Linked DNA regions of Arabidopsis thaliana. The protein of the gene in region 1 interacts with the protein of each later gene in a pairwise test. Each region holds a gene or a part of one and is shown in the gene's direction. Other genes may lie near its edges. The genes, in order: AT3G06530, AT5G59210, AT1G20770 and AT5G57910.

Region 1 (8,003 bases):
TTACAACTTCCAACCTTGCGTATTTTTTTTTTGTTTTTCCAACTTTTACTTTATATAATCTTACTTCCAAGGCTTTGTTTTGTTTGTTTAAAAGATGGTCTCGACAAGCCTCAATGGAGACCGTTTGTTGACCGCGACTGGCGGTTTGGTCACTACCAAATGGATGGTCTTCAAGACCCGTTGAGTCGCGTGGCTCGAACCCTTCTCATATGGCCGCTTATCATGAAAAAGAGGATAAGAAAAGTTAAGATCAAGCACACCGATGATGCTGGGCTTGTTCTACATCCTGCTTTAGCCTCACCCTTTGACTAGAGAAAGAGGTAGAAGAAATCCGAGTGTACAAACTCATTTCCCTGTATGATTTGCCAAACCTTTGGGCCTTTGGCGCCATTAGAGACGATTCACCGTTTTGTTGTTAATGTTTAAATAAAGGCAAAACGGCATGATGTTCGGATGAGGTGCTTTGTTTTTTACATACGCCTCGGGACTTTAACCAACGACATTTGGTTGGACCAATTAATAGTAAGTTTAACCGACCCAATGTCCGGTTTTTGTTCAGCTTGATACCTTACCCTGGTTGGAACTTGGAAACGGCAAGCATTCAGCTATTTGTATAAAAAGGAAAGGTGGAAAAACTACACGACTTCTCTGGAGCAAAATTTTAGGATGAGGTAGGCTAGGCCCATTTTAATGTCCATGAGTGATTTACTAGACTTGAGATCCACGGTAGTCCCAGATCAACGGCTCTTATTTTGACACGTGAACAAAACACAAAAAACACCTCGCGTTGTGATCTGAAGGATAAAGAAAAACAACAGGACGTTGTATTACATAAATTAGAAACGAGGTGCTGTTTTGGTGTTTTCCTTTTTTCGGCATTGACCTATCTTGACCGACTCATAATATAAGCATGCTTGTGTCGCCACTGTCTCTTTCTCTATATATAATAGCTCTCACTCTTCTCTGATTTTCTTCTGTTGAATCAAGGTCTCTGGAAATTTCATCATCTTCAGTCTTACTCCTATCCCTATTTTCTCGTTGGGTTGCACAAATTGTTTACTGATGACGAGCGATCGATTTTGGCGCGGCGGTGACCGCGTTGAGGTGGAACGACTAGTTTCTGGCGCGACGGCATATTTTCCGGCGAGTGTTGTTAGCGCGCCTTCGGTGAGAAAGAAACTCGTTTGGGTGGAGCATGAATCCCTAACTGTTGGAGGTTCCGTTTCCGTACGTATGAAGGAGTACGTCACTCCCACGCGCCTCCGTCCATCTCCACCGCGTGAACTCAACAGACGGTTCAAAGCTGACGATGAGGTCGATGTCTTCAGAGATAGCGAAGGTTGCTGGGTTAGAGGCAATGTTACGACCGTACTTGAAGATTCAAGGTACATTGTGGAGTTTAAAGGGGAAAATCGTCCAGAAATAGAGGTTGATCAGTTCAATTTGAGGCTTCATCGTGAATGGCTAGATGGTGGGTGGGTTCCTTCTCTTCTCCAACAGGTAAAACATTTCTCTGCGTTTGAATTGAATCTAGGGTTTGTAGAAAAATAGTGAATTTAATGTTTTAGGGATTAAGATACATTGAAAGATTTGACGAATTAATTGTAAATTTAGTAAAACCAAAAAAAAAAAAAAAAAAAAAAAAAAAAAAAAATTGTAAATTTAGAAAAAAGACTTAATTATACTATATATACTGTATGTCAAGCAATTTGAATTTGAAGATTTGTTGGAATTTGGCATAATAAACTCACACTGCTTTTTTGATTTACAGAGCAATTTCTCGGAATCGACAGCCCAAAGAATTAAACTGAAGATAAAAATCAAGAGAAGAGATCAATATGAGAAGGGAGCTCTTGTCGAAGTCAGAAGTGAAGAAAAAGCTTACAAGGGTTCTTGGTATTGTGCTCGTATACTTTGTTTATTAGGTGATGATAAGTACATTGTTGAACACTTGAAATTTAGTAGAGATGATGGTGAGTCGATCCCTCTGAGAGATGTGGTAGAAGCCAAGGACATAAGACCAGTTCCTCCTTCAGAACTCTCGCCTGTTGTGTGCTATGAACCAGGGGTTATAGTTGATGCTTGGTTCAACAAACGGTGGTGGACCAGTAGGGTTTCCAAAGTCCTAGGAGGAGGTTCTAATAAGTATTCAGTTTTTATCATCTCAACTGGTGAAGAAACGACAATCTTAAATTTCAACTTAAGGCCCCACAAAGATTGGATCAATGGACAATGGGTCATTCCTTCCAAGGTATTGACTGATGTGCCGGAAGAATGTTACAAACCTCCATTGAAGAAGCTGAAATCTTGTGAGAGAGCAGAGAAGGTGTTTAACAATGGAATGGAGGTGGAAGTTAGAAGCGACGAACCAGGTTACGAAGCCTCATGGTTCTCTGCAAAGATCGTAAGTTACTTGGGCGAAAACAGATACACAGTGGAGTATCAAACACTAAAAACAGACGATGAAAGAGAGTTGTTGAAGGAAGAAGCAAGAGGTTCAGATATAAGACCTCCTCCTCCTCCACTGATTCCAAAGGGGTATCGATATGAATTGTATGAACTTGTGGATGCTTGGTACAATGAAGGATGGTGGTCTGGTCGAGTATATAAGATAAACAACAACAAAACGAGATATGGTGTCTACTTCCAAACGACTGATGAGAGTTTGGAGTTTGCTTACAATGACCTTAGGCCTTGCCAAGTGTGGAGAAACGGAAAATGGAGTCGTGTATAAGGATGAGAAGAAGTTGGCTAACGGTTACAACTATTAATGAAGAGGATAAGGAAAATGACTTGTTTATAGTACATTTTTTGTTTATGAACATATGTTTGAAGTTGATGATGTCGTTAATTGTCTGCGTATAATATAATATTTAACTTCTAATGAAAGAGGTCAGGTGTTAAGTTTCTTTTTTGTTCTCTGTTCTCACTTCCATTTTACTGAAATTCTTGGATAGATGGGTTTGTTAATCTTGGCAAATGTGATGTGAACAGTGATTGTATCTTGACTTTCTTACACTTGTTTCAAGACTTTCTCGATTGAGGAATTAAAACGCACAGTTTTGTAATAGTAGCGGCAGATTAGAGATGGGCTTTATTATCAAGTTGTAAAACTATTGGGGTTTAAATTCGAAAAACAAAAAAATAGGTCATGGTTTAAAACGCAATTCCATTATAACTCAGGGGTTTCCTTGTTTCTTTATATTACTATATCTTCCAGATTAAAAATAAAAGGATCGTTAAACCCTAAACCCGCTTCTTCTTCTTCTTTCTCTTCTTCTCCCTCAACGCCGCTCTCTATCTCTCTATCTCTCTCTACCTCAAACTTATTCTTCGAATTTCCTCTGAAGAATAATCTTATCCCAATAGCGAGTATGAGTTCTTCAATAGTGTCACAGTTACAGGCTCTCAAGTCAGTGTTACAAGCCGATACAGAGCCTTCCAAGAGACCTTTCACACGCCCTTCGATTCTCTTCAGTCCTAAAGAAGCAGCTGATTTCGATATCGAATCAATTTACGAGCTCGGGCTCAAAGGTATGTTCTCTTCTCCTATTATGCAATTCTAATGAACAAGCTCAATGATAAATTAAATTCTCATCGTTAATTATTTTTGTTAATTCAGGTCTAGAAGTACTTGGAAACAAAGATGAGAGGTTTAAAAATTACATGAACGACTTGTTTAGTCATAAAAGTAAAGAAATTGATAGGGAATTGCTGGGTAAAGAAGAAAATGCTCGGATTGATTCATCAATCAGTTCGTATCTACGTTTACTCTCTGGTTATCTTCAATTTCGTGCTTCCTTGGAGACCCTTGAGTATCTCATACGACGATACAAGTATGTGTTTCCTTATCACTATTGGTTATGTATATTTGCCTTTGTTCGTTCATCGAATTGTCCTAATTGCTCTATATTTCAGGATTCATATATACAACTTGGAAGATGTGGTTCTATGCGCCTTGCCATACCATGACACACATGCCTTTGTCCGCATTGTTCAACTGCTTTCTACTGGGTGAGTATATATCTTTCACTTTCGATTTCGAAGTGAAGTCTCACAATTTATCATATCGATTAGTAAACCCTGGTTCTCATTTGCTTTACAGAAATTCCAAGTGGAAATTTCTGGATGGTGTTAAAAATTCAGGTGCTCCACCTCCTAGATCGGTTATCGTTCAGCAATGTATACGTGATAAACAAGTTTTGGAGGCCTTGTGTGACTATGTAAGTAGCTGTTAATATTTTTTTTCCCTATAAACTGGTTTTTGAATGGCTACATCAAACTGAACATCTGAAATCTTGGTTACATTGTAGGCATCTCGTACTAAGAAGTATCAGCCTTCAAAACCTGTGGTTAGCTTCTCCACCGCAGTTGTTGTTGGGGTGCTCGGTTCAGTTCCAACTGTTGATGGAGATATTGTAAAGACGATTTTGCCATTTGTGGACTCTGGTCTTCAATCTGGTGTGAAAGGATGTTTAGATCAACAGGTTTTTTAGTGGTTTTCTTACCAAATATTTTTCTCTAATTGATTTTGTTATTCAGTTGATGTGCCTTTTATGACAAACTTTATATGGTTCTAGGCTGGAGCGTTAATGGTTGTTGGCATGTTGGCAAACAGAGCTGTGCTAAATACTAATCTTATCAAGCGCTTGATGAGGTCCATCATCGACATTGGTCGTGAACATGCCAAGGAATCTTCTGACCCGCATTCGCTTCGATTGTCACTTATGGCCTTGATCAATTTTGTTCAGGTGCAATAACTTTCTGTCATCATGAACTTCTTACATTTTAATTTTCGATATCACGAATGTATAAACTTCTAAGTATGAGGTGGACATATTTTCTATTCCTCACTGAGGATTCTGCTCACAAGTGGTTGGTGTTGATTGTTTTAAACAATTAATTTTCTGAATCAACTACAGCTGCAATCTGTGGACTTGATCCCAAGGAAAGCATTGGATCTTTTTAACGAAATAAGGTATCTGAATATGAACAGTCTTCCTTCTGAAGCTTTTTTTAATTGTAACTATTACTAGTATTTTTTCAACGATGGCTTCAATTTTGTGCAGAGATATTTCTGGTGTTCTTTTAGGCTTGTCCAAAGAGTTCAACATCAAAAGATTCCTGGCAGTGCTACTGGATTCTTTACTTTTTTACAGGTGTATATCAAACACTGTTTTGTCATTTTCAAGCGGATGGATTTATTTTGTTAGTATTCATGTGTGATTTACTGTCATCTTGTTGCAGTTCGTCTGATGATAAATGCTGCGAAGTTTTAGCTTCAATAATTGAGACTGTTCCCGTAAGCAATTTGGTTGATCATTTGATCTCCAAGGTTTTCTCTTTATGTATGACACAATACCAGAAGAACAGTGATTTTAGATCTTCTACATCTGGTTAGTGATATGTCAACTACTTATGTCATTGAGTTTTGGGTGTTCATTTTTGAAGATTCTTTTTCAGATTCCTCTTTATATAACCAATATTGTTGCAATTTAGTTGTAGGAAGCTGGGCCAAGAAATTTCTGGTTGTTGTAAGCAAGAAGTATCCTGCTGAACTACGTGCCGCAGTTCCTAAATTTTTAGAGGTCTGTGCTCCAACTCTCATTTAGTTATTTTCCTTTGTGTTTGTTATATGGTCTTCTGAGTCATCGACTTCTTGTTGCAGGCTACTGAAGTTCAGTCGAAGAAAGAGGATTTAAAGCTAGAGATGTTGTCTTGTATGCTGGATGGGAATTCAGACATGTCTCACCCGTTTGTGGATTCAAAATTGTGGTTCCGGCTCCACCATCCCAGGGTACTATAACCTCTAATCTTAGTTATGTGAATAAAATTTTTTATTTACTTTTTGCGCAAGACTGAGGGCTTCTTATAAATAATAGGCTGCTGTACGTTGTGCCGCGCTTTCTAGTCTAAATGGTGTTCTCAAGGATGATAGCTCTAAAGCAGAGGTATGTGTGGGGTACTCATTCCAAGTATTTTTTGTTTCTTTACTTTGACTTCATGTCATCTTACTGTTCTTCAATATCTTTTTTACCCTCTCCATCCAGAACCTTGTCACAATTCAGGATGCTATACTGCGTCAGCTTTGGGATGATGATCTGGCTGTTGTTCAGGCTGCCCTCTCTTTCGATAAGTTGCCCAATATAATAACCTCTTCTGGTCTTCTGGATGCTTTGCTTCATGTGGTGAAACGATGTGTTGGCATTCTCGTATCAGGTGAATAAAGATGCTCTGTTCTTTTCTTAACTTGTTTCAAGTGTGGAATTTTCATATGTTCAGTTAGTTTACCTCGCACTATCCATTCTTGTTGCAGGAGTATCACATAATGTTCAACTGGCAGTTGATGTTGTTGCTTTGTCTCTTAAAATTGCTGTCTCAAGCTTCGGTAATCAAACAGACTCTACTGAGAAAGTTACCTCTGCAATGTTCCCATTTCTCTTAATTCAGCCGAAGGTTCTTTCTTGTTCTCTTCATTTTCTACAGCTATGGCGAAAGTCTTGTTACTTCTACTAATTGCTGTAATCATGTCTTTTAATAGACGTGGAATTTAAATCTACTTGTGCTAAAGTTGGGAAAGGATGTTAACTGGCCACTTTTCAAGAATCTTGCTGCTGATGATGGAATGGTAAATATGAGTTTACGATTTTACTATCCTTCAATACTCCAAGTCGCAATCACAAATCTTTTAATGGTTGTTGAATATTATTATCATGTCATCTGAAAAAGAAAAATTGTTGCAGAAAAAGCTCCCCGATATCATGTCTACAAACTTATCCTCAATTAGCATGGATATTATTAACGATTTGGGAGAAGCACTCTCCTTGGATCCTGATGAGCGTAGGATTGAGCTTATTGAGAGAGCGTGCAACTATAAGCTCTCTGAAGTTTTGGAAACATGCAGCAATATCAAATGTTCAGAACAGGATCGTAACAAGTTGCAGGTTTGTCATTACTATACTGTTTTCGTAAAAAAAACTTCCAAGTCCGCATTGCTATTTCAATATTTTAACCTATTTCTTGTCTTCACATACTTGGTATACTATTATTCGTTGTTTCTGAGATTTTATAAATGGTTATTTCATATCAGAAGGGACTACTGATCCGTGAAAGTGTGTCCGCATTGAACATAGATGTCATTAACAAGCTGGTGGAAGCATTTATGATGCACCCTGCTGATTATATTCAGTGGCTTACTGTCAGTTGCCGAGATTCCACCTTGTCAAAGACACTGTTTTATATGATTTTGATGCATTCCCTGCAGAAGATGAATTCTTCATCTGGTAAGCTTCTGTCCATAGTACTGCGTTAACATACATGCTGATGTTAAAGTCTTTTTTTTCATTTCTAAGCACCGTAGAAAACTTGGTCTTACATGATTTTAACCACGATATGATGCTGATGGCTGTGTTTTCCTTTGATTTAGACCCTAGTCAACTTTTGGATCTTTTCGAACTTTGCTTTCCTGTTTTGAAGACTGAGTGGGAAGAACTTGAGGTCGAGGTTGATGTTTCTCTGAAAGAGGTATAGAATTCTACCAGCTGATGTAATATTTTCATCTGATGGTTGATACATATATTATCTTGTTAGTTGATATATTTGTGTATTACTTGCAGCTGTCGAAAAGCAACTGCCAAGAACTCCTATATCAACTCCTTGATACCTCTGATTTTACTGCTCTGAATTCGAAGGTTCTGATATGCTTGTTTTGGAAGTTGGGCGAGTCATTCATTAAACTTGAACCTGCCCACGATGCTTCGGTGGGTGATGCTCAACCATGATCTCGTTATATTTGGTTATATTGAAATTTTTTCTACCCAACCAATTGCAATGCTCACAACTGTATTTGTGTCACTTCACCTTTGTTTAGGTTTTGAACAAAAGGTTATCTAGCGGACTTGAGGATTTGTTTTTCTTTTTTGCAACAACTCGGTTGCGGCATGTCTTCAAGGAACACCTTCATTTCCGTGTGAGAGAAGCCAAAGTCTGTCCTGTTTTGTTTC
Region 2 (9,071 bases), on another chromosome or scaffold:
CCGTTCTCTGTCGTAACGGCAAAGCCATTGCTTTATCCTCCGATCATAAGGTTTTGTTCGTTTTTTGATAATCTCTCTTGTTTCGTTTATCCATCGTTAAATGTTTATCCGTTAGATCTACGGTTATGGTTTACTCACTGTAATGAAACGAGAATTTCGTTACGTGTTGCGTTCGAAACTTACCTATTAATATTGTTTAATGCATTTTTTATTTATTATTTCATTTATTGGAAATTAGAATCTTCTTTAATGTGCATGCAACACCTGGACGACGATTAAGAATGTTTAATGACTTTTTACTTTTTAGATAGAGGATCTGATAAAGTTTATGAGTTTTAAGATTCTTTAATCCTTCGTGTCACTGTTATCAATGACTATATCATTCTCTCTCTCTCTCTTGTTTAAATTTGTTGTAACAGCCAGACCGTCCGGACGAGCTAGACCGGATTCAAGCAGCGGGTGGTCGTGTTATCTACTGGGATGGCCCACGTGTCCTTGGAGTACTTGCAATGTCACGAGCCATTGGTCAGTTAATTGATTACACTTGACGAAAACACTCTTGTCCCTATCCTAATGTTTGTACAAAGTTTTTCCGTACTTTCAATAATGATGATTATTAACTCTCGTTTCGCCGCGGATTTTTTTTTTTTTTTTCAGGAGATAATTACTTGAAGCCGTATGTAATCAGCAGACCGGAGGTAACCGTGACGGACCGGGCCAACGGAGACGATTTTCTTATTCTCGCAAGTGACGGTCTTTGGGACGTTGTTTCAAACGAAACTGCATGTAGCGTCGTTCGAATGTGTTTGAGAGGAAAAGTCAATGGTCAAGTATCATCATCACCGGAAAGGGAAATGACAGGTGTCGGCGCCGGGAATGTGGTGGTTGGAGGAGGAGATTTGCCAGATAAAGCGTGTGAGGAGGCGTCGCTGTTGCTGACGAGGCTTGCGTTGGCTAGACAAAGTTCGGACAACGTAAGTGTTGTGGTGGTTGATCTACGACGAGACACGTAGTTGTATTTGTCTCTCTCGTAATGTTTGTTGTTTTTTGTCCTGAGTCATCGACTTTTGGGCTTTTTCTTTTAACCTTTTTTGCTCTTCGGTGTAAGACAACGAAGGGTTTTTAATTTAGCTTGACTATGGGTTATGTCAGTCACTGTGTTGAATCGCGGTTTAGATCTACAAAGATTTTCACCAGTAGTGAAAATGGTAAAAAGCCGTGAAATGTGAAAGACTTGAGTTCAATTTAATTTTAAATTTAATAGAATCAGTTGATCATAACAAAATCTTACCTTTTTAAATTTATTTTTTGTTATATATAGGACGATGTTTATAGGAATATTAGAAATGTTAGACTGATATCTTTAAGAATAGGAAAAGAACCAAATATTTACTAAGGAATTTGTTTTCAAGTGTATTTTGTAACTAAACAAGGCAAACAATCGGTATAGAATACTTCAAAGGTTAATTGGGAGGATTCAATATTATAACATTTTTTTCTTATTATGTAAAACGTTTTTTTTTTTTTTTTGCCAACATAATCTATAAAACATGTTTATATAACTCTTCATCAAACGGGTATGGTTCACACTTTATCATGTGACATATTAGAAGATGTCGATCATTAAGACTGAACATTGTTTAAAGTACTTAGAAATCAAAATGATGATTCAAGCTTTGATAACTTCCAACCGTTTCCAACCGCCAAACTTTGGTAACTTTTTTAGAATCGAACTCCTAGCTATCGCCTAACGATTTTTTTGAACATTCTCGTTTTTTTTTCTTTTAAATGTCTTTGCAATTGCATAAACTGGTTTTTTTTTTTTTTTTTTTTTTTTGTCGGAAACTGGTTTTCTTTTATCATCCTGTTTTCAACTTTTATTCAATTTTTTTTTTCTTTTTGAAATTGAAAAACTGGGCTCGCTTTCAAGGTCAGAGAGTTATATATGTCCATGGGCCTATTTAACACTCCTATAAGCCCAAATATAGATATATTCCATTTTTGTCGCCGGCGATTTCCTCACCGTTAAATCGACGTTCGAAATTCCGAGGAGAGGAATCATACCATGGAATCGCACCACGCGTCTCTAGGTCGCCGTACTGTAAGGATATTTCCGATATGGCCGTCTTTATCTTCATCTGAAGACAGTTTCTTACATCGGTGCTTTTTTGTTGTTATTAATTTCTGTGATCTTGTAGTTGGAAGAGATTCGTCAAAAGAGAGCAGCTCAAAGGCTAAGCAAAGCTTCTTCAGGTCCAGATCTTAGTGAAATTCCCAATCCTGCCGGTAATTTTATTCATCTCCAATTTCAATGTTTTGCCATCTCCTTTTCCACTAGCTTTGCAATTTTGATTGACTACTTCATTATTTCAGATTTCCCAGTGATCAGAAAATCTGAGAGCGGAAATCGACTTTCTGAGGTAGCATTTCTCTGCTTATCAAAAATTGTACCTGGTGATCTAATTGGATTCTTTAGAATTGCGACGGTCTTGATAATGAGAATGCCTTAATCGAATCATGTCTTCTAGGATTTATGGACAAATTTGATTTTGCATATTGTCCTGAGGATAGGCTCATTCAACTTTTCTTGAGTAAATGAATGAACATAAATGGGAGTTTTGTATTGGTTTTACTGATATTATGATCTTCCTGGTAATAATGGTTTGTTTTGAATAACTTGTACAGACAGATGTTGGTGCTTTATATTCCCAGCTTAAAGAACTGCAGAAGAAGAATGCAGAAATGGAGGAGCGCAACAAAATTTTGTCTTCAAAGGTCTGTGTCTATCTCTTTGCCTTGTTGGATATTAGATCCAAGGTTGTATGTTGATTAAACTGTATTTGTCTGTGGGATTCAGCTTCAAACGAAGGAAGTTGAGAATGAATCACTTGAGACTCGGTTGAATGTGCTGGTAAGTAACAAGTAAACTTTTATTTGTGATCTTATTTAGTCCTGGTTGGCTGCAGTTTGTTTAGTTTTTTGTACTAATTGGTTTGTGAGGCTTGACATGCAATATGAATCTCTGGACAGTCCATTTGGTAAACGATTCAAGATGTCTTGACATATACTCTTATCGATGAATGACAGGAACAAAACACAGTGCCATCTCTGAGAAAAGCCCTCAAGGAAATTGCAATGGAGAAAGATGCTGCTGTTGTTTTACGAGTAGGGAATACACTTGTTTTAGTTCTTTTGGTGCAAAAAATTATCTCCTTTTTTATTGCATTTTGATAGGCATAGCTTTTGTTTATAGGAGGATCTCTCAGCTCAAGTTAGGACTCTTAAGAGACGTGTTAATCAGGCAGAGGAGGAACAATATCGAGTATGTAACAATCTTTTGCCTTCCAAATTAAAAATTTTCTTTCTTCTTTTTTTTTTTTTCTTTTCTTAAAAGATACCATAACCCATTGTTGATAGGCTGAGGAAGATGCAGCATCTCTTAGAGCAGAGCTTAATTCGATACAACAGCAAGCAATGGGTAATTCATTTGCTGGCATGTCGCCAATGGGAGTTTCCCCAGACCAACTACCAATATTAGAAAAGGAGATGGCTAACCTAAAACTAGAATTACAGGTTCGTATGATTTTGAAACAGATAATATGTTCCTCGTGAGAGTCTCTGTATCTAAGATAATAATTTTCTTAACATACACAGAAAGAATCAGTGTTGAGGCAGCAAGAACAACATCGTTTAGCTGAAGAACAAACTCGAGTAGCTTCTTTAATGTCTGAAAAGCAGGAACTGGAACAGAAAATTTCAGTTTTATCCAGCAGGGCCTCAGGTAATATGCGATGCCACACATTTTTTTTTTTTTTCTTCTTTTCAAAGCAAGTCTGTATTTGCAGCTGTTACGATCATCAGGTGTTTGGATGCACTAACTGACGTCTAAATGCTTTTGAGTCATTCGGAATTTTTTTTTACTGAGTTGTGCATTGTTGGATACATATCAATGACTTTTTTTGTGTTATTTATTATGCAGAAGTATCAGAGTCTGGTCAAAAAGTATTTTCAGTGGTAAGAAATTGTTATAACCCATTTTTCCCACTTGCCAGCATATAAGCTTTCACGTTTTATGGAATCCCTAAGTTTTAGGTTCGATGGTTTTCATGTAGGAAGATAAAGAAAAACTCGAGAAGCAGTTGCATGATATGGCTGTTGCACTTGAAAGATTAGAGAGTAGTAGGCAAAAACTTCTCATGGAAATTGACAACCAATCATCTGAAATAGAGAAGCTATTTGAGGAAAACTCGAACCTCTCAGCTTCGTATCAAGAATCAATCAACATATCAAATCAGTGGGAGAATCAAGTAAGCTTGTCACATTTACATTTGCTTAAAAACATTTTCTTGGACTTTACGTTGACTTGTAGCCAACTGCATAGGTGAAAGAATGTCTGAAGCAAAACGTAGAACTCCGTGAAGTTCTGGACAAGTTGAGAACAGAACAAGCTGGTTCTTTTTCACGAGGGCCTTCAGAATTTGAGGCAAATGGGTCGCATGGAACTGATACTCTATCCCTCAAGGTTTTGGTCCTCACCGACTCTTAAGTATTAGAATAGAAAATTCAACACAAATAGTGTTTGTGGTGTTAAATTCTGCCTTTGTTTTTTCAGGGTGAACTTGCGAAAGAACAGAGCAGAGCGGAATCATTATCTGCTCAAGTCCTCCAACTCTCAGCTCAACTCCAGCAAGCAACACAAGCATACAATGGGCTTATGCGCATGTAAGTTTCTCACGGAACTTTCTTCAATCCATTGAGATTCTATCCTGTCTTGTTAATTGTTTTCTATTACGATTTCTTGCAGCTATAAACCTGTGCTTAGAAACATAGAGAGTAGCTTAATCAAGCTGAAGCAAGATGGATCGGTTACAGTGGCACAGTGAATCAGGAACCAAGGGCACACTTCTGAGTATTGAATATATTTTTATACAACAAAACATCTATTTAGAACCAAGGGGACAAGTGAATCTAACACTTTTTTCTTTATTGAACAATTTGGTTCGTTGTGTTGTAACTGTTGTTCATTGAAAGCTTCGGTTCGTTTTCCTCAAGTTTGATTTTGGAAGGTTTGGAGTTTGGTTATAGAAGTGAGACTAAACCGAATTTCTAAATCTCGACAATGTTCAAATTGGTTTCCTTGGTTTTTTTTTTTATCTTCATCAACGAACTGGGCCTTTTGTTACAGGCCCATTTTACTTGGATTGGGCTAATTATAACCGAAAATTGTAACGGTTTAGAATCTTCAATTGAGCGCGAAATGATTTCTTCCTTGGCAGCGATCACCGGAGGGCCTTCAACTTTCCGGCGTGATCCCGATTCAAACACTCTCAGGCTTTCACGCAGGAAAACATTAATCTCTGTATTACGAAGCTGCAAGAACATTGCCCATGTTCCATCGATTCACGCCAAGATCATTAGGACCTTCCATGACCAAGATGCTTTCGTTGTTTTCGAACTTATCCGTGTTTGCTCCACTCTCGATTCCGTCGACTACGCCTACGACGTGTTTAGTTACGTATCTAACCCTAATGTATATCTATACACTGCTATGATCGATGGTTTTGTGTCATCTGGTCGTTCTGCTGATGGAGTTTCGCTGTATCATCGGATGATTCACAATTCGGTTTTGCCTGATAACTACGTGATCACCTCAGTTTTGAAAGCTTGTGATTTGAAGGTATGTAGAGAGATTCATGCCCAGGTTTTGAAACTAGGGTTCGGGTCTAGTAGATCGGTAGGGCTAAAAATGATGGAAATCTACGGGAAATCTGGGGAATTGGTGAATGCTAAGAAGATGTTCGATGAAATGCCTGACAGAGATCATGTTGCAGCAACGGTCATGATTAATTGTTATTCTGAATGCGGTTTCATTAAGGAGGCGTTAGAGCTTTTTCAAGATGTTAAGATTAAAGATACGGTTTGTTGGACTGCGATGATTGATGGGTTGGTTAGAAACAAGGAGATGAACAAAGCGTTGGAGCTTTTTAGGGAAATGCAGATGGAGAATGTTAGTGCTAATGAATTTACAGCTGTCTGTGTTTTATCCGCATGCTCGGATTTAGGTGCGTTGGAGCTCGGGCGGTGGGTACATTCGTTTGTTGAGAACCAAAGGATGGAGCTTAGTAATTTCGTAGGTAATGCGTTGATCAATATGTACTCCAGGTGTGGTGATATCAATGAGGCAAGGCGGGTTTTTAGGGTAATGCGAGACAAAGATGTCATATCATATAACACGATGATTTCTGGATTAGCAATGCATGGGGCTAGCGTTGAAGCTATCAATGAATTTCGGGATATGGTGAACAGAGGATTTAGGCCGAATCAGGTGACTTTAGTTGCTCTTTTAAACGCATGTAGCCATGGAGGTTTGTTGGATATAGGGCTTGAAGTATTTAATTCTATGAAGAGAGTTTTTAATGTTGAACCTCAGATTGAGCATTATGGATGTATTGTCGATCTTCTTGGTCGAGTGGGGCGACTAGAGGAGGCTTACAGATTCATAGAAAATATTCCAATAGAGCCGGATCATATCATGTTAGGAACTCTTTTGAGTGCTTGTAAGATCCATGGAAACATGGAACTCGGTGAAAAAATCGCTAAGAGACTATTCGAATCTGAGAATCCAGATTCTGGGACATACGTTCTCTTATCAAATCTTTACGCTTCATCTGGGAAATGGAAAGAATCTACAGAAATCAGAGAGAGTATGAGAGATTCAGGGATTGAGAAGGAACCAGGATGCAGTACTATCGAAGTGGACAATCAGATCCATGAGTTTCTTGTGGGAGATATAGCACACCCTCATAAAGAAGCAATTTATCAGAGATTACAAGAACTGAATCGAATTCTTAGATTCAAAGAGAATCAAATAGATATTATAATGGGTTTCTAGTGTCAGATACACTTTGTTGATTTGTTCTCAAGTAAGTATGTCTTAGTCCCTCAAAACTTTGTCTCTTCTTCTCTCTGTTTTTGATGATACAAGAAAAGAAAATGAGCATAACTCCTTTCTTAAGGCTGGATTGAGTAAGCAACGATTGGACTTCTGACACTGTGACTCCCATCAGACCAAACCACAGACGAACTTACAAAACTTCCATCCTTCAGTTCTTTACCAGAGATGGTCACAACAAAAGATTTCTTCTCCTCCAGGAAACCGAATCTCAGTATTTCTGGTTCTATGCTAATCTGAAGCTCCGGTTGGAGAGGAACAACACTTGCCTTGTACGTAGAGTTTGGGAATCCAACATTAGTGACAGTTCTTTTAAACGTGACATTGAATGGATCAAGAGAAGAGACAAACGTAGTCATTGTTGGGTAATTCAGATCCTTGACTTCTGTTCTTTCCGAACATGTGACGTTCTGTCCTGAGGTTGTTGTGAGCGTTGTTGAATCAAAACCCTCTGCACATAACATTTTGAGGTAATCTTCTGTTTCTACTTCATATACAAGTCCGGGGTCACTTGCTTTGGTCGGGTTAATTTGGCCTGATCCATATGCAAATTCTTGCTCGGGGTTCTTCTTAAGGTTCATGGGGGTAGCTACATACCATGACAATAATACGTTTTTGTATTATTCCAAAAGTAAGAAAATCAGAAGAATGTATTGTTGTTTTGAATTATACCGGTGGTCATTATAGCGGATTTGATTGCCGAGGGAGACCAGTCGGGGTGAAAAGACTTGACATAAGCCGCTACACCTGCCACATGAGGACAAGCCATTGATGTGCCACTCATTACACTATACCTCACACTTCTCTTGTCCTCAGGGTTCAAAAAACTTGAAGGAGAAGCTACCGGAGAAAATGCAGCCAGAATCTCTAATCCAGGTGCACTTACGTCAGGCTGCAAACTAACATTGATGTTATTCCAAAAACAATGATTCGGATATAAAGCCAACACAAGCTTAATGATCTTTGTTCCGGTTGCACTACCTTCAAGAGGTTCTGAATGACGAAACTTGGCCCGCGAGAAGAAAAAGATGGAACATATGGAGCTTCTCTATCTACTATCTCCTCGGTTCTTAGTATCTCTGCTTGTGGAGGCCTGCAAAGTTAACTCTTTTAACATCTCAAGACCGAAAAACAAAGCTGTTCGTATTCATTACTGCTTACATACTCTGCAGATTCAATGTATGACTTGATAGATTTGTAGTCCTCAAATCCCAGAGAAGAGGCAGGAAAGGGAACCACAAATGCGCTGTCTGGAAGCAATGTGTTTTGAACAATGACTCCAATGGCTCCAGCTAAGTAAGCTTCTCTATATCCTAGGAAGTCGTCACATAGAACGATCTTCCCTTTCACCAGCTCACTATCCACACACCCACTTGAACAATAACTGTCCATAATAATAACTATTAGAGGCATCAATGTGTTTTGATTCAAGATTCAGATGTGAACGTAGAATAATTTAAGAAGAAGAAGAGACTTCTTACTCACCCGGCTTGGGCTTGGGAACAATTTCTCGACACGTTTTGGCCGTAAACGATCGGGAACTTTGTCCCATTGAGATTGAATGTATTAACTGATATACCCTGTATAAAGAAACAGAGTATCAACGACTCTTGAACTTTGTCACTAAATCTGAACTAGGATGTGAAATGACGTTGTCACTAGATAAGAAAATGTACCGTTAATGCTTTTCCGTTACCAAGAACGACTCTGTCAATGAACTGCCGGTCCGTACCGCTGGCTGCAACGGTTATCATCCATGGCGATACATTAGCCACCGAACCTTGATCAGGCCCATTGTTCCCAGCTGAACCTGCCGTGATGATTCCTCTCATCATTGCGTGAAAAGAACCAATGGCTACAGAAGCGTTTAATAAATTGGAGACGTAATCGGCTGAGATTGAGATCGAGATAACATCAACACCATCGGCAATGGCATCATCAAACGCAGCCAGAATATCTACATCGTTGCAGCGGTTGAAGCAGACTTTATATGCGGCTATTCTCGCCGAGGGAACTCCACCACGAGCAGTACCTTGAGCCAAACCGTAGAAGCTAGCAGCTTGAACCGCATTACCAGCAGCCGTTGACGCAGTGTGGGTTCCATGGCCTTCCTCATCTC
Region 3 (7,546 bases), on another chromosome or scaffold:
TCTCCTTGTCAGCCTCTCTGTTCGGTTCTCCCTCAGAACGTTTAGTATATGCCGTATCCCATCCGCTTCATCGAGTATCTTGACCCCTTTCTCTACATCTAACCCGTCTTCTAGTAAGCTCGATAGAGCTGCAAGTGCGGCCTCAACCACTTTCACATTTTCATGGTCTAATAGAGCCACTAATTTCTCCACAGCTCCTCCTTCGACAAGGCAAAATGTTTCTCTTAATGAACATATTCCCTGGTGGATCTTGCACAGCCCGTTTACAACGTGTGGTTTTCTCACACACGAAAAGATCGAGCCACAGTAGTTCACAGGAGGCGGATCAGGCATCCGTGTCAGCTTTATAGACTCTAGTGAAAGATTCTCTAAAGCCATGGCGGACACCATCTGTATGTTATCTTGCCCGTTGGATTGGAGCAGATGAAGGAAGAGTGACGCAACATCGTGCTCACGGCAAAAGTTAATGGCCCGAGCCTCTTTGTTGAAAACAAAAGTAATCCTAGCAAGTATACGCACAAGTCCTTCCAGAAAAGGATTCACAAACCTCATTCCCTTGATATCCCCTTGGCGGATTCCAAACACTTTGGATATGATTTTTTCAAAAGCACCAACTTCTAACATTTCCTGAGTAAGACCCAAATCCCTATCTGGCAATTCAGCTAAGAGCCCAGCAGCAGCAGCCTGTTCTTCAGTGATTGGTGTCTTTTCTGAAATGATAGCAACAAGGCTTCCGAGTTGTCCAGCAGTGCCACATAAGGCCTTAGCTAGTTCTTCACTCATGAATGGGGAAAGGTTATGAAGAAGCTTTATGGAAGCCAACCGCAAATCATCATTCTCTCGGACCTCTATAAACTGAACCAAACTGATGATTGCACCGGAGGTTTTAATTGCATAAACAACTTTTGGAACTGTTTTTGGGCAACTGGTGAGTCCAACAAGAACCTCCAACAGCTTGCACTGGATCGCTGGACCTGTGTTGCTAATTAGATGGAGCAGATTCTCCACTCTGTTCTCTGAAACAAGAGTGGCTTTGTCAAAGTCATACCCGATGTTCACTATGTTAGCAAGAATAGTGGCAGAGACTTCTTTCAACCGAATTGGAAGGTTGTTTGGCCCCACATAAAACAGATCTTTGATAAGTGGGGGGAGAATTCCTTTGCTGATCAAGACCTTAGCACTCCCTTCGAACGATGAGATTTTGTTAAGAGCTTTCAAGGCAGCTTCCCGTTGGGGCATGTCACCACTTCTCATAAGATCGACAAGAGAAGAACCCACAGTCTGAGCCACAAGAACCTTCACATCGTTATTTAAGGGAAGCTCCCCGAGAAAGGAAGCCATAGAGAGTTTTGTTTCAGGTGAACCTGCAGATTTCACATGTGGTGTCATTATTCATACAAGAAATTTGCCATATAACAGAGGAAAATAATGAAAGATTTGACCATCTGGGTAGAAGAAAATTGACTCTTCTTACAAGCGAACATGTAAAATTCCTAGAGCAAACAAATTCTAAGGCAGAATACCATAACACTGTGATGCATCCGAACAACTGAAGGAAGAATTTTACCAACTGAAGGAAGATGATAACTTGTTTTATGCAAATGAAGTAGAGAGCGTAATTGTTATATTAAAACCAAACAAAGAAAAGAAATTCTTTCACCTTCAAGGAGTTTGCCTAGAAGAGGCTGGAGTCTACCATATGAAGCCATCTGCCTAACAATTTCCTCTGACCTCTCCATATTTTCCAAGGTTCTATCAGCTTTCTCAACAATTGAAACATTTTCTGAGTTGCTGCTTGTCAGACCAACCAATAATATTAGTGCTCCATGAATGGAACCAATCTTCTCGCACAAAGCTTCTGATTTAGAGAGCTCAAACAGCAAGGAAACAGCTGCCTCCCTCCCCTTTGATGGCTCATGTGATAAGAACTTAACTAGTGTACGCACAGTGTCCCCTTCAGCTACTATCGCCTGCAAGATGCTGAAAATTTAATTAGCACCCGCTCAATTTCCCATTAAAATGCTACACTAAATATTCAGCAGAGATGAAAAGAAATCAGATTCAACCTTGCTCTCATCATCTCCTTCAACGACAACTTGCAGAGTTTGTAGAGCCTTATACCGCACTCTATGGCTAGTACTTTTTAACATGTCGATGATCATATGGATAAGCTGAGAGTTGCGTACACCATGCCTATTTGATCGGATGGTCCTGCAAATCTGTCGCACATGCATCAAAGCTTGCAAAATATCTGTCTCAGCATTCCCTAAAAACAGTGACTGACGAGCAATGTCAAGCTTGGCAGCATCATTCCTGGATCTCCACTCTTCGATAGTGTTACGCAGAGCTATGCTGGCGCTTACATCAGTGCTAGTCAGCTCCTGAGATGTCAAAGGGCAAGAAGGAGGTCTCCCACTGTCCCGACACTCCTTGAACCATTTCTCAATGGCTTCACGCTCGAATGTTCGACCATTCTCTAAAGTGACAGGATCATGCATAACCTCCTTTGTCAATGGGCAGATGAATGCTTCATAGATATGATCTACTCCTCGCTCAAAATGAGAGCTATCATCTGACTGGTCACCATCCGAGCTTCCAACCATCTTAATCCTTCAAACTCACTGCAAATGTACAAGCAAATACCTCATTGTTATGAAACATAGGATCCTAGATGAAAACCCACTTGGATACATCAATGCAAGAGAGTCTGGTAAGAAAGTGTCGAAATTTGATAGTAAATGAATGAGAAAGTTTTGGAAACACAAAAAGGGATAGTACCACAGTTTGGTTCCCGGATTCTTTCACAGCCAAGGAAACAAAATTCAAACTTTCAATCATAACTATAACCTAAAATACGAAAAGTAACAGTGTCCCAAAATCATCACTCCCATGAACCCTTATATAGCAAGATTACCAAATTTAGCAATATTCGTCAAAAAGATAAAGAAGAGAAACAACGTCTCATGAAGCATTTCAAAAATACCAAAAGAGATAAAAAAAAAAGCACACCAGCCTGTTCCAGTTGAAGAAGCGCCTCCTCAAAGCTATACAGAGAAGGGAAAAGAAAAAACCAAAGTTGATTCTTCTTCTGAAGTTGACAATTCGAAAACGACCACTTCTTCAAAAATCTCCTTGAGCTAAAAACGCGCGAGAAAGTGTGAGTTCTTCTTCATCCATGGATCTAATTGCAAGCAATCGAGCTTGCCTCCTACTAAAATCTCGAGCAGAGTTGATTCTATCCCCGTGCGAGAACGAGAGAGACAGGTAAAAGCGAGAGGAAATAACAGAGAAGAAGATGGGTTGAAGAAAAAATCGAATTTTTAAGAGAAAAGCACGAAAGGTTGACTAAAATCGAAAAGTCATGTGAGAGAGAGAGATAGAGAGAGACGTGGAGCCACCAAACGCCAACTTGACAAACTGAGACAAACAGCCTGGCGCTGTGTTCACACACACTCGACTTGCTCTACCCACCCACCCATAAACATAACCGGTTTGACCCGAAAGAGGTAATCTTTCGACTTGGGCTATTGGTATTAATGGGCCTTTATTAATTGGATATTACGAAAATAGCCTCGTTTGATCCGTCTTTGTTTCGATCGCTTTACGTTGTCTTCTACTTGGGCTATTGGGCCTTTACTAATTGAAATATTACGAAAATAGCCTCGTTTACTCGAGAAATTGATCTGTCTCTGTTTCGATCGCTTTACGTTGTCTTCCTCGTGTAAGCTTCGATTTGTTGATTCGCGTGTGTTGGAGCTAAATTTCGATGGCGGAGATTTACGAGGAAGGAGATGAATCAGTGGATGTGAATAAAGAATCAGAAGTGAAAACTGAGCTGGGAAAAGGGGGAGGAGATGAGAATGTTTTGCAGTTTCTAGATTCGTTGGATGGATATTTAACGCTTATGGATTCTGTGAATTCTAAGCTTCGAGAGGTAATTGGAATGATATTTGGTGTATTGAGCTAAAATGGGATCTTATGGGAATGATTCTTATGTTCTGATGTATAGATGACTTGAGATATTCTGTGTTGAATTGAATTGAATCTGGGATTAAAAAGGATTGCGTGGGAAACGTTTTCGTTGATTATCTAGCTATAGTAGCCATGAGGAGAAACTTTTTTGTGGATTCATATCACTGATATGATGAGAGTGAGAGTCTGCTGCCTTAATTAACTTATTTGGTATGGAACTGAAATGTGTTATTTTTGCAGGGATGGTTTGATCTAGCTAGTGCTCGACATTCTATGGGAACTTTACGCATCAACAGCACTCTCTTAGATCTTAAGTATCATCCCGCTTCTTCAACATTGCAAGTGACTGACCAAGATGGTAAGTTTGGCTTATGCTTTGGGCGTTTGATAGTTCAATGGTTTACGTTTATATGCTATGAATTTATGTTTTTTTTGCGGGGAAGCAACTTATATACAGTGTATGTCTATGGACTCTTGTAGTTGAATCTTTGGGATCAGTACCTCATTTTGCTTTGTCCAAGTGGGCTTCCAAGGGCGGTAGCAGGAAAGGCAAAGACTTCTCTACTGATACAGATTCGGAGATAGGCTCACCTCTCAGCCCACAGCTACGACATCGAGGAGTTTCTGGTAAAAAAAGACTCATCTGTTGGTTATTCTCTGCCCTTTGTTTGTCGGTGTTTCATCATCTCTTGCTTTATGTAATTCGATAGAAGAGAAACCATCAGCCAAGGATGAAACCGTTTTAGCAGCTGATGAAGAGGTGAGCAATCATTTAACCGTCTGCAGAAACTCTACTTGTTTTCAAAATGTAGGACGATGGTTTTACTAATTCGAATGTGTTGAGCTCCAGATAAAGAAAGAACGGGCAAAATCTCTGTCAGTATTTGGAGGTCTAGTCTCTCCTAAGCTGCGTGGCGCTCAACAATCATTTGAAACAGGTAACATCCTCATCACCACAAGTATACTCAAAGGAAGATTCCAGTTTACAACTGAAACTCTTTTTTCTCTCGTCTTTGGACAGCTCTTGAAACTCTGGTGGAAATAGCCAACATGCGTGCATCGATGATATCTGCCTTTGAGCGGATCACAGAGAAGTGAAGTTCCTTGGTAACAACTGATCCTGAAATGTGCTCAGTGGATTCAACGGAAACAGAATGGAGCCAACCTCAAAGACTGATGTTACATTGATCATAGCAGTTTGATGCTGCGAAAATCATATCTTCTTCGAGTCAGAGGGTTAGAATGTACCAATGCATTAGCTCGATTTTCAATTTTGTAGCTACCACCTTCAAGTGTATCTGTTTTGATTTGGTTAAATGTTACCAGAAGTTCTTACAAGACCTCGAGCTAAGGATATATCAAAATAATAAAACATTTTGGAGAAGAGAAACAGTAAAAATGGAGAAAAATAAAATCATTTCATTGTCCTTTAATCTCTTATCCACGACGAAATCCTCAAATATTTCTTTCATATAAAGCAAATGAATTCATAACATAACAGAGATACAGTAGGAAACCAATACAGAGACAAACTTTACAAATTACAAATAGACTAACGCTAGTGTCTCATCCAAAACCAGAATTTGGTGAAAAAATTATAATTATGAAACAAGCACAAGTTCATCAAGCGAGGAAAAAGGATTATAAAAGGGAACGATAGTAACCGAGGCTAGAAGGAGTTCCAGTTATCTGACCTTTTCGTAGGGCTTTCATCCGAAGAGACTTTAAAGGGACCTGTGGAACCAAACGGGTCTGCATCATCAAACGAGTATCCATGGCTACCACTGAAATCCTTTGTACTATTCATAGAGTCGAATCTTGATAGCGAGGGACCACCAAAGTCTTTGCTACTGTTGATGGAATCAAACCTCGAAAATTTCTCAGCTCCAGTGACGTCTCTGGAACTGTTAATTGAATCGAACCTAGAGAAGGCAGCTCCACCAAAGTCTTTGGAGCTGTTGATGGAATCAAACCGAGACAGTCTCTCGGGCTGCGAAGAAAACCCGGCGCCTGCTTCACTGGTGTTGAAGGAGTCGAACCTGGAGAAGCTATCAAAGTTATTATCTCTAGCTGATGCATCGCTGAACCGAGGTGGAGAGTTCCCGAATCTTGAGAGTGGAGTGCTGGGGACTGAATCATCAAATGCAAATTGGCTCTTTCTCTGGGCGCCAAAGCTTCTTGAACTTGGAGAATCTGCTCTTGCTGTGTTTCCACCAAAATCGTCACCTGATCCAAAGTAATCTCCATCCTGCCAATGTTGATATTGAAAATGCTAAGCTTGGTTAAGACTCTGAATAGATAACTAAATGATTCAGCATACAGAAGGTAAATGTAACATCGCAAATCTGAAAAGCATGAACTTAATACGGATTTTCAAAATCTTGTAGAAATTAAAAGATCAGTTCAATGTCTATTCGTCACAACTGAAAGATTTGATTTAGTATTTTGATAGATGGATTGATGTGTTAAAGCGAGAGACACTATGTTTCTTTACTAACCTGGCTTTTTGATGCATCAAATCCCCAGACTGAATCCACATCATCGTTAGTGTCAAATGCACTTGCCCAATTCGAGTCATCAAAGAATTCAGAATTCTTTCCCTGAGAATAATCTGGAGATGGGACCTCAGTAGCATTCCTAGAGACAGGACTGTCTCTAGGACTTCTATCTTCACTGTGAGTTGTCCCATATTCACTCTCATGGTGGCGGTCTGAGGTTTCTGAAAAAGGGCCATAGTTGTCCTCTACATGGGTCGGCGAATCAGGTGGCCCACTACCATCATCCACCGTACCATTTTCCTTCTCACCAGACGAGTTTTGCTCTTTTGATTTGTCAAAAGTGATCTCATTGCCAAAACCTAACAGTGGGAACATTATCAGTCAATGTCCTTGTTATGTGCTTAACTATATATATCTAAGTGTATTAGTAAGAGAAAGATAGGAAAAAACATTGTACCTTCATCTTCAAACTTATCCCATTCCTCATCCCAAAGAGCTGCACCTTCTTGAATTCCAGGTTGCCAGCCTGTAAGTCACAACATAGCAAATTCCACATAAGTTGTTTGTTTACAAAATACATGTTATTTGCAATCATCTACAACGAAAGCAAGAAGTCACAAGGCAACGGAATCATATACCAGCTGGAAGGTCTACAAGGGCCTTCGAGTTAACCTCCAACCCGTGTTTCTTGCATCGTTCAGTTAAAGCCTTCATCAATTCCTCAAGATCTGATTGTATTCTGTCAGCCCGGACCTAAATGTGCCCAGTACAGCATCAAATCAGGCATGTACAGCAGATACTCGACAGTTAAGGCATCTCGTAAGCATATAGAATAGCATGTACCTGAAGGAGACCATCAGCACTACCACCTTGCTCCATGTTCACAATTGCTTGACTCAACTCCATCTTCCGCCCCTGGATGGGTTAGCAAAGCAAAAGTTCAATAAGTAACAAATTTCCGTAAGATGTGTTACAAAATTATTCAAAGCCCCTTCACCAGCAAAGGTGAAAGAAGGGAGCATTGGGCCATAGAATAAGAGGAGAGGACAAGACGCACAACATGATCCAGAGAAAAA
Region 4 (7,634 bases), on another chromosome or scaffold:
TGACCAGTATGAAGCGAAGCAACATCATTACATCAACTCAAATGGATAAAAAAGGAAAAAATTTGATGAATGATGGACACCGACACATAGTAACAAATTTAAAGAGGTAGAGCTAGAGAACCAATCTTAAATTTCTCGCATAGAAAAAAGGAGAATTGAATCTTAGAACAAAATTAGAAATAGAGCAGACGTGAACTTGCTGAAGCAAGAGAAAGAGACAAAGACAAAGGCTTACATGGCTACACGGTTTCAAGGGTCCCGTTGATGAGGATAACCAGAGGAACAACTACGAACATGAAAAAGATGAAAGTGGGTATAAAGCTACCAGACAAGTGGTATCGACTTGACACAGACAAAAAAAAGAAAATGGCAACGAGAAAAGATGAAAACGAAGCAAATGACATTTTTACCCTTGATAATAGGATTAGCGTGGATTGTTTTTTTTGTCCTTCAAAAGTCAAAAAGACCTGGGCTGTGATATTATTATACAACACAAGGTGGAATGGAGGATTTTGTACAAGAAGAAGTTTACAAGGTCTTCTACATATCAAACAACCATCTCAGCTTCTTTCACACTCGAAGGAATTCCAACCTCCAGTCTCATTGTAGCTCTATAATGCTCAGGTACAACAGCGCCAGCCTGAGCACATATCTCCACAACAGCAGGTGCTTGCCCGTAGAAGCTTCGTAGCTCTCGCTGCATCGGTGGCCCATTCACATCAGGAACATGCCAAACATATCTTGGCGGTATCAAGTCGTCAAGTACTGCAGATTGCCAACCATGCTGGCCATTCCGCTGTTGGTGCTTGAATGCACCACAGTTCTGGGCCTTGTGTCCCGTTGGACCTACGTGAACCTCTGGACAGTACCCACAGACCCTAACCCTGTACATCCTCATCAGCTTTTTGGCTCCTGCTCTCATTTCTTCCCAGGCCTGTAATGTTTCTTCGGCTAAGGAGACTGTTTCTTCTTCGCTAGATGGGGGAGTGATCTCTGAGACAGGTAACTCAGTTAACAATGGCACTGGAGGAGGCTGAGGCTCTGGATCAGGCAATTCAGTTTCATCTGCATCAACAAACTCGCTTTTGCCAATGCGGATAATCGGTTTTCTTCTCCTTTTTGCTGGAAATTCGGGTATTTCAACGCCGCCCTGAATGCAGAGCTCAACTACAGCAGGAACTCGGGGAATCGAGAATCTTTCATCATGACGGATACGCTTGCCAAGGCGGTCAAAAAGGTGATAGGCTTCAAGAGGAACAATAACGTCCTCAATAACCGAGTTAGTCCATTCATGAAGACCTTTCCTTTGGGAAGTATTGGGACCTTTACACGACTTAAATGGATGCCCATAAGGTCCAACATGAATCTCATTGCACCACCTAAGAGACCAATCATACAACATCAAAAAAAGGCCATACTCAAAACAGACCAAAAATGAAACAAGAAGAAGAAGAGAATTTTTACCCACAAGCATTAACACGAACAACTTTCATAAGCCGGTGGAGATTGTTGATCAATCTGATTCTTGCATTGTATACTTTATAAGCAAGAGGCACAAGGCTCTTCACAACCATACCATTTTTAGGCGGAGGTAGAGGTCTCTTAGGTTTGTCTTTGTTGTTCTTGACTCTCTCCCTCGCAGCTCGTCTCAGGTCCACAATAGGGACTGGGAAAGGTTTCTTCTCTCGCCTTGTGTACTGCTTAGGTAAGTCTTCATTCTGAGGACGATCATTTCTCACAACTAATGGCAGAGATCGACGCTCTTTACTAAGCACAACTCTTGAATTCAACTGAAGGCTAAACTCAATGCTACTTCCCTGCACAACATATCCGCACATAACAGTAAACATTGACTCTCTACTTCAAAGGGAAGCAACGAAGTGTGGTCTAATTCTAAGAACCAAAACAACAACGAAGCAGAGTCTGGAGAATTGGATGATACTGACTAGTAAAGGAATCTGACCTGAAGAGAAGGAGAGAACCCAAATCTATAAAACGTGTTGGGATTAAGAAATTGCCTCCTGGTTACGCTATGAATAGCAAAAGGTACACTTTTTGGTGAAAACCCAGAAACTGTACTAGCTGGATAAAACAACGGAAACCAAAATCAATCACAGTCTCACAATAAATGGATAAAATTGAGCATTGAGGACGGATTCGACACACAGTGAGGAAGAAACTTACAGGAAATAGCGGAGTACGTTATCGACATCGTCGACAGTTGCTGGATTAAACCATTGGAAGATGGAGGATAAGGAAGAGAGAGCGGTCTCAGTCCCGGAGACGAAGAAGATAGCTAATGTAAATCGTGGACAAGCTTAAAGCTAATAAGTTCAAATAATGGGCCTTTAATGGGCAGAAGTTCCCATTAGGCCCACTTATAATAACATTTGTTTCCAAATTCCACAGTTGTATAACCGATCCGGCCTTTAATGTTTTCTTTCCAATTTGAATTTAGGATATTAACCAAAACTAACATTGTATTAAACACTCAGACAGAGTAATGCAAAGAAACAAGTAAACTTACAAACCGAAATCGAACCGAATTGGCTAAGAAACAAGACTAAATCACAAGCCAAAGTAACAAGTAAACCGGAAAATACAAACCGAAATCGAACCGAATTGGCTAGAGGTAATTCACAAGACTAAACCAAAAGGCCTAATGGAAGAAGAAGAAGCAAACTCCATGCTGTGTTCAGGCTTCCCTTGTTCATGATATGAGCGTTTAAAGGAGCAGCAGCAACGCTTCTGTTGTAATTTGGAGACAAGACAATGTTTACAGGAGCAGGAGCATCAACAACGCTTCTGTTGTGATTTGGAGACAAGACAACAACACGAAGCTTCTCTCCTCTTTGGCAATGTCCTTCTTCTCCACTTATGAAGTAAAAAGGACCTGACCTCTTCAGCTCTATATTCGTGTGACCATCTTTGTATCCTCTTATTGGCTCTGATCTGTCACATCTCTCGTAATCTGTTTGTCTCACTTGCAACACTGAATCATTCTCCGCATTGTATTTCCACACTGTTGAAAGACAAAATGAACTTTTATGAGAAACAAAACAGAGCCATGTACCAAAGTCAAATCTTATTACTTACAGAGAGAATCTCCAATTTTGAATCTTGTTCTGCCTGACCATTGGTTTAGTGTTTCATCTCTAGATTCTGGAGCCTTCCATGTGTTAGATTTGCCTCCCACCAGAATCTCTCTACCTTCAGACAACAAACCAAACAAGAGAAGCAAACAACAACACATCATTACTGAAGACATTCTGGTTATACAAAAAAGTTTAATTATGTTTCTGTGATGATTAATCATATGATGAGAATTTGCAAGAATAAATAAGAGAAGATAGGTCAGTGGCATCTTGAATCCAAACAAATCCTTCCCATGAATTAAAACGTGACTACCATAGAAACAAAGCTCGTGAAAATGAAGAAGCTAACCGTTACAGTTACTACAGAGCTGTGTGTTAATTGTGACCAAACCCTTTTTCACCATTGCATCAGCTGATGGTCACTGACTAACTGATGCATTAAACACACTAGAATCATCGATGTGAACGCAAAAAGTCATTGCCTTAAACTTTATTTTTTTTTGGGGTAACAGAGTAAATGGAATGCATGTGAAGAGATGGCAATCTTTTAACAATTGACGTAATAAGAAGATTTTTTTTTTATATAGAAGAAAACTAAAACCTTGCACCAGTTTCCAGAAATCAAGACAGAGTTTTCTGCAAAATCCGTATTTTTTTAAGTAATAACTAAAAGGCGAATCTTTTTTTTTCTCTTCCACCATCTGACTTTTCTTGAGGGATTATATTAAAAAGTCTGAAAAATATATTTCAACCTCCATTCTCATCGGTCTCTATACAATGGACCCAGTTGAATGAAGATAAACTTAATATTTACAGACGACAATGGAACACAAGAAACAAAACAGAAAGGTTTGGTTTCTTCAAGATTTCTCTAACCAAACTAACCCATTAATATAAAAAAAGTTGTCTAGTTGATAAAATGTTATTAAAAAAGGAAGTTGCTTTTATGTGTTTTCTTTGACCCATTACACAATTTACTTAGTGCCACAAGTCATTACCCATTTCCTGCATAAGTCTGCTTCCATCTTCATCACTGCTGTCTCAACCCAACACACTCACATCCAAAAAAGCAAATTTTGCCTTTTATTTTAATTTTTGTTTTCTTTTTTCTTTTCTTTCCTTCTCACAACAACAACAACAACAACAACAACAACAGCAACAACATGATGTGTCCTTCTTTTCTGCTTCTTTGTCCTTCTCTGACTTCTCCTCACATTGATATTAGACTTCTACACGAAACCCAGAACCTTCCTCTTTCTCATTTCTCTCTTTCCTCTGTTTTCATCTTTTGCTCTTCATCTCTCTCTTTCTCTCCTTGTGTGATTCTGTAATTTACTCATCTGATGAATCCAACTCACGGAGATTTCACTCCCTTGAACTCTAATCATTTCGAGGATCCAAAGGTCAGGTTTAGGCATCATAGCCTTATGCAAGACTATGGAGAATTGCATATGGTACGAACTCTCTTTTCTTGAGTTTTAGATCAAGTTTCAGTTTCTGGGTCTGGTTTTAGTTGTCTCTGGATCTGAGAATGTAATTTTATTTGCTCAAAGATTGATCTGGGCTCAGAGCTACTCGGAAAACCCGGAAAAAGGAACAACTTTCTTCTTTAAAATAATAGAAAGAAGAAACTTTTAAGTTTAATTGCTTCTGCTTCCTTAACAAAGTTAATTACTTATTAAGATTTCTATGTGTAGTTAGTTATGCAAATCTCTATTAGTCTTAACTCTTAAACATAGTTTTAGGATTTAAAACCTTGTTGTGTACATATTATCAGCTCGATACTCTGATCTTTGAGATCATTTGGTTATGAGCTTTTGTTAACGTGTGTTGGTTGATTATATACACTAGGAAACCGAAGCTATGAGAAAAAGGTTACAGGCAGTGCGAGAAAGAAAGGCAACACTAATGGCTGAAGTCAGGTAAAGACAGTTTCAATCCTTGACAAAATATATCATTAGTCCTTTCCTTTGATGTTTTCCTCACTTGTTAATATATCGTTCGTTTATAACCTCTTTAACAGATTTCTGCGACGGAGATACAGACATTTGAGACAAGACCAGCCACAAGAGATTAAAAAGGTCAGAAGATCAAATGGTGGGAAGAAGATCCGAGTGGAAGTGTCTCCTAGTAACAAAAGTGAGGCGGAAACTAAGCATGTTTCGCTTCCTGACTTAAACCACTCGGAAAAGGCTCACGATGAAACCAAAACCAGTCCTAAGAGAAGAGTTCCTTTGTTTGATCTAAATCAGATATCTGTAAGCACATTTTTCACTCTTAATCAGATTGTGAAGAGACTTAGAAACCAAACATGTCTTTACTCATAAATTGATTTATATAGGGAGAAGAAGAGCAAGAAACAGAGGCAGTGGACAATAATCAAGAGAACACGAGAGTTGAAGAAAGTAATTCATGTAAGAGATTAATGATCAGTAGCATTGAGATGCAGCAGAAAGATGTGAAGCCATCTTCTTGCAGGAATGGCGGAAACGGATCAAATAAGAGGAAAATTTCATGGCAAGATCCTGTCGCAGCTCTCAGAGTCTAAAATAAGAAGACGGAACCTTTTGTTCCTCCTCATAGATCTTGTTGTAACATAGCTTCACATCAAAGTTAGCTTGCTTATTTACTTATCTTGATTGAACAACATATCCAATTGTGACTTGAAAACTTAAAAACCTTATCCAATGGTGGCTTATTGCAAACGTGACATTTCTATACCGAAACATGTGTCAGCAAACGACATTTATGGAAGTGATCCAAAAGTCAAGGAACAAAATTAACGGTCAGATGCATTGACACGTGTCTAAAGAGACACGTTTCGTGTAACTTTAAACTACATTATTACCGAACACAAAGAACCGATCTTTGAAAACAAAACAAGAATCTTTATGGAAGAAGACGGGTCTGATTGGGGCGGATTGGCTCCAGAGATACTCATCAACATCATTTCAAGGCTTACGATTCAGGAGCTATGGACCGGTCCGATGTTCGTCCAAAAATCGTGGCTAACTGTTTGCAGAGATCCGTATCTCTGGTCTATCTTCGATCTGGAGCCATGGTTCGATTCCTATCCCGAGTCGACTCACTTGTGGTCCCCTGAGTTCGAGCAGAAGGTAGACTTAATGCTACGATCAGTCGTTGATTGGAGCGAAGGTGGTCTCACTAAGATCCGCGTCCGCCATTGCAGCGACCACGCTCTCTCTTACGCAGCCGATAGGTAAATATCTTTCTTATCAAGATCGTGATTGAGTTTGTGATATCCTCTATTTTGGAATTTTCTATGGCTACGAGTCTGATTTTGGACATATCAATAGATGCCCGAATCTACAGGTTCTTGCCATTAGAAGCAGTCCTAACGTGACAGACGCATCGATGACGAAGATAGCGTTTCGGTGCAGGAGTTTAAAGGAACTTGATATCAGTTACTGTCACGAGATATCTCACGACACTCTTGTGATGATTGGTAGAAACTGTCCTAATCTGAGGATCTTGAAACGTAATCTTATGGATTGGTCTTCTCGGCACATTGGCTCTGTTCCTACAGAATACTTAGACGCTTGTCCTCAAGACGGAGACACAGAAGCTGACGCGATTGGGAAACATATGATCAATCTAGAGCATTTGGAGATTCAGTTCTCTAGATTATCTGTCAAGGGTCTTGCTTCGATATGTGAGGGTTGTCCCAAGCTAGAGTACTTGGACTTGTTTGGGTGTGTGCATTTGTCAAGCCGTGACATTACAAGCAACGTGTCAAGGCTTAAATGGCTTAAGGAGGTAAAGAAGCCAGATGTGTATGTGCCAAGGTCAGGGGATGTGGCGCAGACGGAGAGGTATGGACATTGGAGACTCTATGACGAGAGATTTGACATACAAGCCATGAGAATCTGATTTCTACACACACACTGCCATGTTTTATAATAAAGCTGCCCATAGTTCTGACTTGGGTCGGTTGTTTGTTATATGTCGTGTTGTTAAAATGGACCTTAGGCCCACGGGTCTAAACGGGCTATTTGTAATGTTTGAACGGGTACCCATTTAAACCCGATTACTAACGGGTCTAAACAAATATTAACCGAGTGGCCCATTTATTTTTAAGTTTTTGGAATTTTCTATGCTAAAACGACAACGTTACGAGTTCTTCAGTTTCTCAGTTCTCCAAACGACAACTTCGAGCCAAAACAATGGCGGCTACTACATTGTACAATTCCTGTCTTCTTCAACCGAAGTATGGCTTCACCACTCGCCGCCTAAACCAGTCTCTCGTTAACTCTCTTACGAACCCAACAAGTAAGTCTTCTCTGGAAGCGTTATTCGAATCAAAAGTTTCGATTTTTATCTGTGTTTTTTGTTTCCTCTGTGATAGGAGTTTCGGTTTTGTGGAAGAGTCGTAGAGATGTTATTGCGAAAGCTTCGATTGAAATGGCGGAATCGAATTCGATATCTTCCGTTGTTGTCAATTCCTCTGGTCCTATCATCGTGATTGATAATTACGACAGCTTCACTTACAATCTCTGCCAGGTTTCATTTCGAACACAA

What was found.
Region 2: the proteins of AT3G06530 (region 1) and AT5G59210 interact in a two-hybrid assay, tested with the Arabidopsis thaliana proteins (one large-scale study listed by BioGRID).
Region 3: the proteins of AT3G06530 (region 1) and AT1G20770 interact in a two-hybrid assay, tested with the Arabidopsis thaliana proteins (one large-scale study listed by BioGRID).
Region 4: the proteins of AT3G06530 (region 1) and AT5G57910 interact in a two-hybrid assay, tested with the Arabidopsis thaliana proteins (one large-scale study listed by BioGRID).

What each region holds. Positions count from the first base shown.
Region 1 is NC_003074.8:2,019,222-2,027,224, forward strand, and holds the start of AT3G06530 (ARM repeat superfamily protein), read left to right. Parts: upstream 1-3,238; 5' UTR 3,239-3,374; coding exon 3,375-3,534; intron 3,535-3,622; coding exon 3,623-3,836; intron 3,837-3,918; coding exon 3,919-4,014; intron 4,015-4,105; coding exon 4,106-4,223; intron 4,224-4,313; coding exon 4,314-4,487; intron 4,488-4,580; coding exon 4,581-4,751; intron 4,752-4,922; coding exon 4,923-4,978; intron 4,979-5,069; coding exon 5,070-5,159; intron 5,160-5,247; coding exon 5,248-5,396; intron 5,397-5,499; coding exon 5,500-5,588; intron 5,589-5,668; coding exon 5,669-5,797; intron 5,798-5,882; coding exon 5,883-5,951; intron 5,952-6,050; coding exon 6,051-6,219; intron 6,220-6,316; coding exon 6,317-6,456; intron 6,457-6,541; coding exon 6,542-6,628; intron 6,629-6,743; coding exon 6,744-6,944; intron 6,945-7,090; coding exon 7,091-7,283; coding exon of another isoform or gene 7,284-7,300; intron 7,301-7,426; coding exon 7,427-7,524; intron 7,525-7,616; coding exon 7,617-7,760; and 2 more. Other genes in the region: SFR2 (Glycosyl hydrolase superfamily protein), read left to right, coding at 95-312; AT3G06520 (agenet domain-containing protein), read left to right, coding at 1,063-1,500, 1,772-2,734. UniProt on the Arabidopsis thaliana protein: Involved in nucleolar processing of pre-18S ribosomal RNA. Involved in ribosome biosynthesis.
Region 2 is NC_003076.8:23,886,614-23,895,684, reverse strand, and holds AT5G59210 (myosin heavy chain-like protein), read left to right. Parts: upstream 1-1,915; 5' UTR 1,916-2,065; coding exon 2,066-2,101; intron 2,102-2,198; coding exon 2,199-2,286; intron 2,287-2,373; coding exon 2,374-2,420; intron 2,421-2,685; coding exon 2,686-2,775; intron 2,776-2,857; coding exon 2,858-2,911; intron 2,912-3,087; coding exon 3,088-3,165; intron 3,166-3,253; coding exon 3,254-3,322; intron 3,323-3,417; coding exon 3,418-3,573; intron 3,574-3,654; coding exon 3,655-3,781; intron 3,782-3,979; coding exon 3,980-4,014; intron 4,015-4,112; coding exon 4,113-4,307; intron 4,308-4,381; coding exon 4,382-4,522; intron 4,523-4,612; coding exon 4,613-4,722; intron 4,723-4,804; coding exon 4,805-4,883; 3' UTR 4,884-5,139; downstream 5,140-9,071. Other genes in the region: HAI1 (PP2C protein (Clade A protein phosphatases type 2C)), read left to right, coding at 1-50, 420-525, 658-1,013; OTP80 (Tetratricopeptide repeat (TPR)-like superfamily protein), read left to right, coding at 5,258-6,892; AT5G59190 (subtilase family protein), read right to left, coding at 7,012-7,541, 7,625-7,844, 7,934-8,045, 8,118-8,336, 8,438-8,532, 8,629-9,071.
Region 3 is NC_003070.9:7,212,869-7,220,414, reverse strand, and holds AT1G20770 (coiled-coil protein), read left to right. Parts: upstream 1-3,517; 5' UTR 3,518-3,766; coding exon 3,767-3,934; intron 3,935-4,212; coding exon 4,213-4,330; intron 4,331-4,452; coding exon 4,453-4,599; coding exon of another isoform or gene 4,600-4,682; coding exon 4,683-4,732; intron 4,733-4,822; coding exon 4,823-4,910; intron 4,911-4,993; coding exon 4,994-5,070; 3' UTR 5,071-5,400; downstream 5,401-7,546. Other genes in the region: SAUL1 (senescence-associated E3 ubiquitin ligase 1), read right to left, coding at 1-1,364, 1,661-1,970, 2,067-2,603; AT1G20760 (Calcium-binding EF hand family protein), read right to left, coding at 5,642-6,220, 6,471-6,829, 6,928-6,996, 7,109-7,223, 7,314-7,385.
Region 4 is NC_003076.8:23,449,268-23,456,901, reverse strand, and holds AT5G57910 (ribosomal RNA small subunit methyltransferase G), read left to right. Parts: upstream 1-3,938; 5' UTR 3,939-4,438; coding exon 4,439-4,549; intron 4,550-4,648; exon of another isoform or gene 4,649-4,946; coding exon 4,947-5,017; intron 5,018-5,118; coding exon 5,119-5,353; intron 5,354-5,436; coding exon 5,437-5,643; 3' UTR 5,644-5,821; downstream 5,822-7,634. Other genes in the region: APO2 (APO RNA-binding protein (DUF794)), read right to left, coding at 548-1,379, 1,465-1,817, 1,964-2,082, 2,185-2,212; ENODL10 (early nodulin-like protein 10), read right to left, coding at 2,646-3,022, 3,097-3,364; SKIP1 (SKP1 interacting partner 1), read left to right, coding at 5,987-6,315, 6,413-6,986; AT5G57890 (Glutamine amidotransferase type 1 family protein), read left to right, coding at 7,280-7,385, 7,462-7,616.